Linked DNA regions of Cricetulus griseus. The protein of the gene in region 2 purifies or fractionates together with the protein of the main gene of each other region. This does not show direct contact. Links are inferred from orthologs where the notes say so. Each region holds a gene or a part of one and is shown on either strand. Other genes may lie near its edges.

Evidence for each region.
Region 1: the proteins of Clns1a (region 2) and H/ACA ribonucleoprotein complex subunit 1 purify together in Homo sapiens (affinity purification with mass spectrometry; 3 studies listed by BioGRID and IntAct, counting the BioPlex papers as one, with this or other methods). This does not show direct contact. The link is inferred for Cricetulus griseus from reciprocal best matches to the Homo sapiens genes CLNS1A and GAR1.
Region 3: the proteins of Clns1a (region 2) and Wdr77 purify together in Homo sapiens (affinity purification with mass spectrometry; 6 studies listed by BioGRID and IntAct, with this or other methods). This does not show direct contact. The link is inferred for Cricetulus griseus from reciprocal best matches to the Homo sapiens genes CLNS1A and WDR77.

The regions. Positions count from the first base shown.
Region 1 is NW_023276806.1:29,079,245-29,083,423, reverse strand, and holds the end of H/ACA ribonucleoprotein complex subunit 1, read right to left. Parts: intron 2,418-4,179; coding exon 2,267-2,417; intron 1,274-2,266; coding exon 1,205-1,273; intron 871-1,204; coding exon 857-870; 3' UTR 563-856; downstream 1-562. Other genes in the region: visual pigment-like receptor peropsin, read right to left, coding at 28-65. UniProt on the Homo sapiens protein: Required for ribosome biogenesis and telomere maintenance. Part of the H/ACA small nucleolar ribonucleoprotein (H/ACA snoRNP) complex, which catalyzes pseudouridylation of rRNA.
Region 2 is NC_048596.1:101,779,522-101,782,965, forward strand, and holds the end of Clns1a (methylosome subunit pICln), read right to left. Parts: intron 1,156-3,444; coding exon 1,049-1,155; 3' UTR 502-1,048; downstream 1-501. UniProt on the Homo sapiens protein: Involved in both the assembly of spliceosomal snRNPs and the methylation of Sm proteins.
Region 3 is NW_023276806.1:51,042,332-51,045,740, forward strand, and holds the end of Wdr77 (methylosome protein 50), read right to left. Parts: intron 3,379-3,409; coding exon 3,307-3,378; intron 2,673-3,306; coding exon 2,564-2,672; intron 2,042-2,563; coding exon 1,973-2,041; exon of another isoform or gene 1,913-1,972; intron 1,818-1,912; exon of another isoform or gene 1,681-1,817; intron 1,263-1,680; coding exon 1,103-1,262; 3' UTR 512-1,102; downstream 1-511. UniProt on the Homo sapiens protein: Non-catalytic component of the methylosome complex, composed of PRMT5, WDR77 and CLNS1A, which modifies specific arginines to dimethylarginines in several spliceosomal Sm proteins and histones.

The DNA.
Region 1 (4,179 bases), on a different chromosome or scaffold from region 2:
ACATGTAATAGGTAGTCAAATACTTACTTAAAATGAAGATAAGATGGCTCAGTGGTTAAGAGCATTGGCTGCTCTTCCAGAGGACTGGGTTTCAATTCCCAGCACCCACATGGCAGCTCACAACTGTCTGTAACTTGACTGCCAGGGCATCTAACACCCTCACACCAATGCATATAAAATAAATTAAAAAAAAAAATGAAGATAAGTAACTCATGTAAAAACACGAACAGAGCTACTCAAATCTTAATAGACTCAAAATAATAATTTAAAAATAATTATAAACTATAGTTCCTAAAACGGCTTTATTCTGTGTATTATAAAACACAAAAGTGAAATACAGCAAACATTGCTGTTCTGTCCCTATTCAAAGGGCATTCTGAATGAGGAGTTCATTTCGAAATAATTTTAAAGTACTGTTCCAAGACAGTCTGGTTTGTTGGGGATAGAGGAGGGTTGTTCATTTGCTTATATATGGTACCCCACTTTTTCTATCTGTAATCCAATGAGTTTAAGCTTTGCTTGTTCCTCCAAATTTCAAAAAACAGGTTTGGTTCAATAAACAGTAAGTTAAAGAAATAAAAAATTTTATTTAAAAAAAGCCAAGTGTGCTTCAAATGAAAAGTCCCGTTGTTCTTTAAGCACCCACAGAGTGCCAGGTACTGTACAAAGCAGGGTTCTTCATGCTCTTTCTGAGCAACATTGCCTGTTCAGCCCCACTTGTTTCTACCCAATGCTGACGATTCAGCTCCACTGACACAGCAGCATCCTCCAGGTTGCTCCAGACACAGACTTCAATCCCAGCAGAAGCAGATCACGAAGCAAAAACACAAGTGGTGAGGTCTTGGAACTGCCACATCTAATGTCCTCTTCCTGATCAAAGGAAAAATCAAGGCTTGTAACAGAGCTAGTACCCAAATCTCAGGTTTAACATCAACAGGATCCTGTAATGTTTGATACATTTACATTACCAAACACAATTGCTATTCATAATATTCATTTTTTTTTGTTTTTCACAGTATTAATACAAAGTAATTTGGTGAAATATTAAGAGAAATCAATAAAGAATGTTAGAGAATGGAGCCATAAAGTAAGTTAAAGCCCCAAACACCCCAATGTCTGCCATATTTGTAGGGAGGGAAATAAAACATGAAAGGAATCAACAGTACCGATCTACAAATGCAGTTATTTAAATCCTCCTACTCACCTCGGAATCCACCACCTCCTCTTCCTCCTCTGAAGCCCCCACCTCCACCTCTTCCACCTCTAAAGCCACCTTAAAAAGGAAATACGAGTTAAATAATGACAGCCTCTCATTTTCTGATAAGCTGTAAAAATTGTGCAATTCCTATAATTATAAAAACTATAAGTTCATCTATTGTATTTTACAGAAACTTTTAAAAGATGAAGAACTAGCAGGTTCCCAAGTGAAGCAGTAGAGTAAACTCAAGATGACTACTTTTTCTGTTTTTCACATTTACTTTTTGTATGTGTTACCACGGCACACACATGGAGGCCGTTGGGAGAAATTAAAAGAATAATCAAAATACTCGCTGATAACTAAGAAACCGCAATTAAGTTAAATTCTTACACAGTCATATAGTACATAATAATGTTTCATGCATAACACATCAGTCTCCTAAAATTAAAATGGACCTGGAAAACTACTGTCTCATATTGTAGATCAAGCCATCACTTGCACGCTCACAGCACTATTGGAATACATAAGCCTAGGCATCTAAGAGTACAGCATATATAGTTGTGTACAGCACCCAATGCCTGACAATAGTTAAAAACAACTGTTTCCAGTTTGTGTCTTTACTTCCCTTTCTATAGTCAGTACAACCTTTCACAAGGCTGATCAGAAAGCAGCCTGCCCCATCTCACCAGCATCAGCCTCCATCTTACCACTCTCCACCACACTAAGAAGCCATGCTGAGTAATCAAGCTCTACAAGAGGATCTATGTCAATGTACACGACAAAAATGTCCAACACTGCATTTCTCAGAATGTATCTGCCATTTAGCAATGGGTGACTGCCTCTATTAATATCTCCATTAAAACACAAATAACCCAAGGCTCTGAAATCTTGCAAAGGTAAAGTTAATTTTTTCTCCTACTTAAGCTGTGGAAACAAAGCACTTCTATGGATATGGACAATATGTAAAAGAAATAAGGGTAAGGGAAGTCTGGTTACATGCAAAACTAAACTGCACTGTATAAATCACACATGGCTACAAAACCTTATTAGAAACCCAAAATAACTTACCACCTCTTCCACCACCTCGGCCACCACCTCCTCTTCCTCCTCCTCGACCTCCCCTGCCACCGCCACCACCGCCTCTGGGAGGTCCTTTCTCACCGGGAGGACGAGGCAGAAACCTCTGCAGTGGTAGCAGCTTAAATGGATCTATATAAAACTGAAAGTTGAACAGTAGCAGTTAGTGGGCTAACTTGAAGGGCAGTATGTTCAGCCCAAACTACTTAGGTTCAAATCCCACACTACCATTTATACCACACATCACTCAGCAAGGACTTTTTCCCTTCCCTCTAATTACCTAGGTTTCTTATCTATAAAAATGTAGACAAAAGTACCTATCACACAGTTCCATGAATATCATAAGATGCATAAATATATGCATTACATTGTATACATACACAAAAAACTAAGGTCAATTCAATGTCATTTTTTTTTTTTTTTAGAAATACACGTCTCCAAAAATCTACATCTTCATTTAAAGAAAGTTGCCAAGAGAAAAATTATCAGAAATGTAGCACTAAAATTCAAAATTTTGACAAAGTAGCTATTTCAAGAAAGGATTCCATTAGTATTTCTTGAAAATGATATTAAAAACTAAACACAGCCTGTATTTAGGGTTAAACAGGACATTGTATAGGCATTGAAATGTAAGGAGGTATACAGTTTTTTAGATCTTCTATACAAAACCCAAATGAGGAAGGGCTTCAAAACGGAAATAAGTATGTTACTAAGAAGCCATTTCTATCACCATCTACAGAACCCCTCGTTAGCTCTCACACTGTATCAACTAAGAAGCACTGTGTGAATCTGCACTGCCCAGTCTACTCACAATACAGACCTATTTAAGTTTAAAACAGTATCAGGCATGGGATAAAACTGAAGGTCATGACACATGTCAGGGCATTCCCTGTGTCCAGGGCTGTGTGAGACTAACTGCTACTGTACTGGTCAAGGAATTTCGTCATCATGGAAAGCACAATTAGGCCAAAATGCTATCTTTAGACTTTGTAACAGCCTAAGCTGGGTAAAAAGGACCTGAATTCAAAGACAGCAGTGGTCTGGAAACCAAAATAGAAGATGAGGGATGGAGGTTGGGGAGGATATATCACTAAATAAATCCTCAAATAACCCTGCAGTAAGAAAGGCAGGGATCAGAATGGCTTCAAGGGCTTCTAAAAGGTAACTTTCTTTCTTCAAGTCACACCCCATGAGAAACTCTCCTCGGCACTGTTTCTCTAGGCTCTTCAGCTCCAAGCACACCTTTTCAGAGTCACCTACAAGCAGTGGCCACTTGCTATCAGCAAGTTAATGTCTCCATCTAATTTCCTGTTCTGATCTGGCTCCTGGAACCTCCACTCCACCAGCTCTTAAGACACCTGCCATCCCTGTTCCTGAATCCACTGAATACTGCCTGCACCCCACCCCCTTGAACACCATTCTACTTTCATGTTTCTGTTTGTATAGCATACTTGTACCCCCCCCACCAAGTTCACTGGCAATTGTGTCAGCCTGCACTAAGACATTTAAATTTAAGATGGGGCCAGAAGCTCTCACAAGAGCTCTACTGCTTCTATGCTTCCTAACCTATGTCTGTACACCAACAACTTCCCAGTTTTGTCTCTAGCCTATAGCCCCCACCACTTCCATGAAGTCCTCATCTTTTGATTATCAAGTATCATAATTTATTGTATCCGAAATGAAATTCACTATCCTCCCTTAACCTATGTTCTCCAATGGGCCCAAGTGGGATCATAATCCCCAAAGATGTTGAAATCAAACTTCTAAAAAATGGTTGGCTGAGTTAATTACCAAGCTCTTCTGATTCCTCTTTCTGTATGTTCACAACCCCACCTCCTTGTCTCCATTTCCATGGAACCCTGCCTGCCCCACAGCATCCATGGCTTTGTACAGCCTACATGGCT
Region 2 (3,444 bases):
TATAAAATGCTAGGAACTAAACCCAGGGCTTCCTGTAGCTAGACCAGCACTCTAGCAACTAATCTACAGCCCCAGCCCCAGCATCACTTTATTACTTATTTATGTGTATGGGTGTATGTCTTTGCATGTTTATCTGAGTGCCCATGGAAACCAGAAGAGGTTGGCATTATAGCAGCAGTGAGCTGCCCGATAGATTTGGAGGAACTGGGCTCGGGTCCTCCAAAGAATAGCAAGTACTGGGCTGCAAAGATGGTTCGGCAGTTAAAAATACTTGATGCTCTTGTAGAGGACCTAGGGTCAATTCCCAGCACCCACATGGCAGTTCACAAGTGCCTGTTAACTCCAGTTCCAGTGGTAACAACACCCTCTTCAGACTTCCATGGGCACTAGGCATGCACGTTATACATGCATACACACAGGAAAAACACTCATACACATAAAATAATAATAAATCTGAATTTTTTCTCATTAATGGTTTTAGTCAAGAACAAAACCACAATGGTATAGAAAACCTAGATTTATTTGTTAACTATTACAAAGACAAAAACATCAAGAGTACTTTGCAGACTTCATTACAGATTACTTATTATGTTACAGAAAGCTACCAGGGCAGACAGTCAGGGCCTAAGCTGAAGAATGTAATAGAGCAACCGGAGAATGAAGAGGAGGGCAGAAGCTAGCACAGAAGGATTGTGTCCTGAGGTCCAGGTGTGGCTGAGATGTTCCCCAGAGATGACCTAGAGTCAGCCTGAAGTAAAGGACCCTTGGCTCTGTGGAAAAGGCTAAGCCCGCCCCCTCTGAGGCCTATACTCTCTCCTCAGCATCTTTCTCACCCAGTCTATACAGTGTGAGCTTTGTACATTTCACCTCATAGGCTTTCTGGCTGACAGATGTGCACACAGCAAAGGCAGGAATTAGAGGCCTACTTGGAAGACACCTAGACCCAGGAAGTTTGGGGGTAAATGAGAACCACAAATACCCGCTCAGTTAATTCACCTTTGTTGATAAAGGTCTCAGTCTCTTCTGCTGGTGACAGCTTGCTGTCTCATTATAGTCTGTCTTGCAAAGTAAGTTTTGGAGAAGGAAAAAGCCTTTCACCAGCCCCACTCTGGACTGGAAGAGGTACCAAGTTCTCGCCTACTGTTATAAGAGAATCTGAAAGACAAAAGGTTCATAGGTGTTATTACTAATAGCCATTGTTTAGCCTTGTAGGGTTCCAGACTGTTTCTCAGGCCTTGTAATAAGCCCCTCACTTGACAGATGAGAAAACCAAGGAATGGTTAAGTTATATATATGCCACATCCTGATGGTAGTGTGCACATACATGTCACCAGTGAAGCTGTGATTGCACGACATTCTGTACCCTATCTAATGCACCCAGAGGTCCATTATTTTGAAAGCAGTAATAGTTACATGAACATTTTCGTCCTTGTTCAGGCTTTAAAAGCACACACAATCTAAAATGATTAAAAAAATCACATTGTTTAGAAATCAGGTCAACTATTCAAATGAGCATGAATAAAATTTATGGATATAGTATTTCTTTGACATTGAGCAGAGAGAATAAACTGAGCAGAAAACAAACAGCCACTCATTAGAATATTCACAGCAACTTCACCATTACAAAGAATCCAAGAATCCCAGTGTGTAACCATTAGTGACATATCAATTGAGTTTCTCATGATAGCTGCAAACAGATTGATAATCTCTCAACAGTCAATTTTTCAAAGAAATATGGGAAAGCCACATTATATAAAATACTGTCTTCCAGGCAATACACTTACAAATGACAGCTACTGGCAAAAAAACAAACAAACCAACAAAACCTATCGAGACTGTGATGAGGGCTAGCTCAGAGGGCTATTTTCAGCAACTACATGATGACTCACAACCATCTATAAGGATCTGGTGCCTTCTTCTGGCCTTCAGGCAGAACACTGTATACATAATAAATAAATCTTTTCTTTTCTTTTGGTTTTTCAAGACAGGGTTTCTCTATGTAACTTTGGAGCCTGCCCTGGCATTCGCTCCATAGACCAGGCTGGCCTTAAACTCAGAGATTGGCCTGCCTCTGGGATTAAAGGCGTGCGTCACCACCACCACATGGCTATAATAAATAAATCTTAGTGTGATGAAGGGTGACAAAACTGGGAGCAGGTGGTTCTCCACGAAGTAGAAAGATGAAGTTAGTGACACCTGGGACTGTGAGAGCTGAACCTAGTCGAGCGCCAGTGAAAAGCCTCTGAGGTTAGAGAGGAGAATGCTGCTGCCTGCAGACTACATGAGAGAAGCAAAGATGCAAGAAAGGGAAATATTTATGGGATGAGATATAAATCACAGAAGCGCAAAATTTCTTTGAGATTATTATTATTTTTTGATAACCATACTAGAAGAAAACAGAGAACCAATGTTATAATTCATAGTTTTACAACTATAACAATTTATAAACACTGGAATTAAACAAAACATTGATGTGTAGATAGATGTGCATTCAGTGCCTGTGAAGGCCGGAAGAGAGCGTCAGATCCTCCTGGAACTGAATTGCAATGTGGGTCCTCTGCAAAAGAAGTACTGCTAACCAATAAGCCATCTCTACAGCCCAAACACTGGGATTTTAAAGGCTGGTTTCTAAAACAAAACAGTAGAAGAGTGAAAAGTTCAAATTTCCAAGTAAAAAAAAAAAGACAATTTTAAGGTTCAGAATGAAATCTACACCAGAACAAAGCAAGGAACAAAAGGGAATTTTCTCCTCCCCAGAGCTGAGGACTGACTGAACTGAAGGGTTGGAGCATGCTAGGCAAGTGCTCTGACACTGAATCACAATCACAGTAGGGGATAGTGAAGGTATAACTAGATGGGATAGTCAAAGCATAACTAGATGACTGATGGTAGTGGCAGCGTCAAGTCAAACTATACACATTTTGTCTTGTCTTGCTTTAATAAGATAAAAGGACTGGGACAACACTGGCTAACAGGCCGGGAAACAGCCAGTATTTAGAAGGAAGGAAGGACAACATTATTACAGGGAACAAAGAACAACAATTTTACAAAGAAAAGTTTTGCAGATAGTAAGAAAGGACTCTGCAGCTGCTAGTCCTTGACCTTCACTTATCTAACAAAGAACAGCCTAACTACTCACACCGGGAAAAGCCAATACATTTCTCAGGGTTTGCAGAGTAGCAAATACTCAGGGACAAACTTAAGACAAAGCTTACCAGAATGTGCCAGGAAACAAAACTGGCAGAGACTAGTATGTCAACCATGAAGGGCAGACAGGAAAGAACTCAGGGAAATAATGGCTTTTGGGTGACTGTACGTGGTCTGGACAAATCAGCCTTGAACACTAAGGTACATAGGACATCTATCCCCGATTGCTCCCAGAAAGCATGACAGCAATACAAGATTATAATGTCTTAAGCTCAGTTTGGAATTACATTACTTCCT
Region 3 (3,409 bases), on a different chromosome or scaffold from region 2:
GTTATTTATCATGAACTCTAAATGGAGTGGCTAGACCACCAACACCAAGTATAAATAAATGTTTAAGTTCTCCCTTAACTAACTACTTCAGGAATGGTAAAATACAGACAGCGGCAGTAAAATTGACAACATCCTGGTGACTCACCTAAGTAAAGCAGACAAAAAGTAACAACAGCTTTGGTGGGGGAAAAGGCCATGACCCAAGTCTTTAATTCACATTTCAGTATTTCAGAATTTCCCTAATGATGGATCTTAAATCTTAATAGTTCACAAATACAGCACTCAGACTTCATATCTCCAGAGGAAGGTGCCCAGAGGCAATCAGGTCTCAGGGTATCTTTAGGTGGGAAAAATGACAAAGATTTCTCTGTAAGAAACCCTGTCAGTTTTCTGACTTCACTGAAACCCCTTTAAATGTTCAATCATCCCTAAAACTTTCTATGAAATCTAGGACAGGAAAACACTCATCTCTCTCATACAACACAGAGGAGGGCAAAGGGTGAGCAAGAACTACATTGCAACAGCCAAATTTATTCACCAAGAAAATGGATCTGAAAATTCAGTTTAACATGGATTTGTACAAAACTGTGGTATTTCTGTGTCTTCTCAAGGTATACTGTGCTGGACTTTTATGGACTGAAGTATTCCCCATAATGAATTAAACTCTATATAAAAATAAGTTACCCCATCTCTGAGTGGTGGAACCACTCCCACAAATCTAGGGATACTCACATTCCATATCCCAGACAACATATCCAATTCTTGGACTTGGGAAGCATAAAACTGTTCTCACTTTGTGGGAAATAAAGAGCAGTGCTTTGGGAAAGCTGAAGAATAATTTTCCCCACCCCAAACTACTTAATACACTCACACACATGTGCTCTCTCGAACACATATACCCATTTATATAAAGGAAGTTTTCCCTCCTAGACACTATGGGCTGCAGCCTCCCTCAGGCTGAGAGTCTGCCTGTTTATTGCACGGGACTAGGGAGTAACATGCTCTACAAGGCTCCTTCCTGTGCTCTCACAATACGGAGGCAGAGGCAAGCAGATTCTTGCAGGTGGAGGGCTATTTTTTTTTTTTTTTTCTGAAATCCATTCTACTCTGAGGCATTCTCAGGTCCAGGGGCTGGGAGAGGCTCAATGGGCACAACATGGTGGATGACTTGATGGTCCCAGCCAACTGTGGTAAGGAGGGAGTGGTTAAGTGGAGACCACGTAGCATCTCTCACGAAGTCTCTGTGGGCTCGACTTCTAAACCTGGAACAAAAGTGGGTGTGTGGTAAGAGATAACACAAAAACCGAGGTGGGAAGAAGACAGAAAGAAAACCTAACATAATCAGGACACATTGTTTTTAAACATTTCACCATTTGTACAGCTTATCACCAGGACAGTGGATGTTCAATCCAATCCAGTCTACTTTCCTAGGGGAAGAAATAGTATGCAGAGCAAAGAAGTAGTATATCTACAACCAAGCAGGAAGTCATAGCAGAGAGAGATGTACACCGGGGTCTTCCTTCCCATGCCTTTCTCTCTATAGCAGGTTTCACTTCACAGCAGGGGTTCCCTCCGTGAAGCTGGGATGCTAGCTAGACTTAGCCTACAATCAGACTGCTTCCAGTGTTCAGTCTCTGCAGACACACAGACACAAATGGAGAGAACCTCTACAGACAAAGATGGAGAATTTTCTTCTATTTATTTCTAATAATGTGTAAGTGGGTATGTGCACCCAAGTGCAGAGGCCCACAGAAGCAGAGGCATCACATGCCTTCGATCTGGAGTGACAGACAGCTGGGAGCAGACGGATGTGGAAGCTGGGAACAAAAGGAAGTATTCTTAACTACTGAGCTTTTCTCCAGTCCCAACAAAGGAAGAATTCTACATGCAAGTTCCTGAAGACAAAACAGACCTGCTTGCCCATTGGTCTTGATGCCTGATTCCTAACCACAGGGTTCTACTTCAAACTTACACCTCAGAAAGGCTTGAATCCAGCACAGCAATTGAGCAGTCTTCACTGAGAGAGGCCAGAAAGGGAGCACTAGGAGAGGGAACAAAGGGGAGAGAAGATAAAGCCTAGATTCCATAACCAAAATCTGACTGCACCAGCCCCAAACTCACCATAAACTGAGCCAGGGGAAAAGGCAGCCTGATACCCACCTTTGGGTTAAGGTCTTCCTGCCATTATAATTCCAATAAAAATGGAACAGAGACAGTACTCATAGAAACCACCCTGGTAACCAACTACCCAATGGGTCCCTCTCTACATTAGCAATTACCCAGAATCAGGCTCCTTAAGCACATGGTGCCAGAAGCCTAACATCAATCAAGCTGTGTTGAACAGGTATGAGATCACATTTCAGCTGTTTTTAGACTATGCAACCCTAATAAGAACTGTACTGACTAGCTTAGGAAGACCAAGCTCGAGTACTTACATTGTTCCATCTAAGGAACAATGTAACCAGCTAATGCTGTGCCAATAGATACATTCCTTATCACTCCATTCCTACCCCTCACCACTGGCCCAACCCATCCCTTCCAAACCCCTGATGACAAACAGTACCTGTGTGGAGAGAATACCAGCCTAGTGACACACTGGGAGTGCACAGCTGAGCTGAGGGTACTGCTTGCATTCTTGGTGTCCACAAGAGAGACAGATCCATTCTCATCACCTGTTGAAGAAACAGCATGTTACCATGGTTAAGAACATACACTTCAGGCTGTCCACAGTCAAGCACGCCTTTAATACTAGCATGCAGGAGGCAGAGGCAGGAGGATCTATCTGAGTTCAAGGCCAGCCTGATTTAAATAATAAGCTCTAGAACAGCCAGAGCTACATAGAAAGACCCTGTCTTAGGAGAGAAAAGAACAACAAAAACCTTAGGCTTTGATATGCCAGTCCTGGATTTGCATGAATCTTAGTTCCTCGAGATATGGACAAGTTCACCACCCAGAGCACCAGTTTCCTTTTGTAAGGTAGGATAAGCAAGTTACTGTGTGCTGTGACAATTACTGGATACTTATTACTTTAACTACAAGCTGTTACCATATGCAGTCATACCCACATAATTCCCTAAACAGCAAAGCTGCTTGCTAAGTGGCCCAATGATTTCTAATCATGCCGAGAATAAGGGAGCTGGATCCATGAGGAATCCAATCTACTAGGAAAAAATTATGTCCCCCAAAGCTAAACAAAACTGCTCTAATTCATGTAGTGCTGAAGTGTGTTGACAAGAGTGTGTACACCTCGAAGGTAGCGCTTTCCCATCCTCCCGTTCTCAGAGTCCATATGTCATGCTGCCTTACCAAAGACAAAGACATCACTCTGCTGAGGATGCCAAGCCAGGGAGGTAGGAAGGTAGCCAGAAGCATTGCAGCCTGGAAAGGACAAAAGGGAGGTTTGGAACAA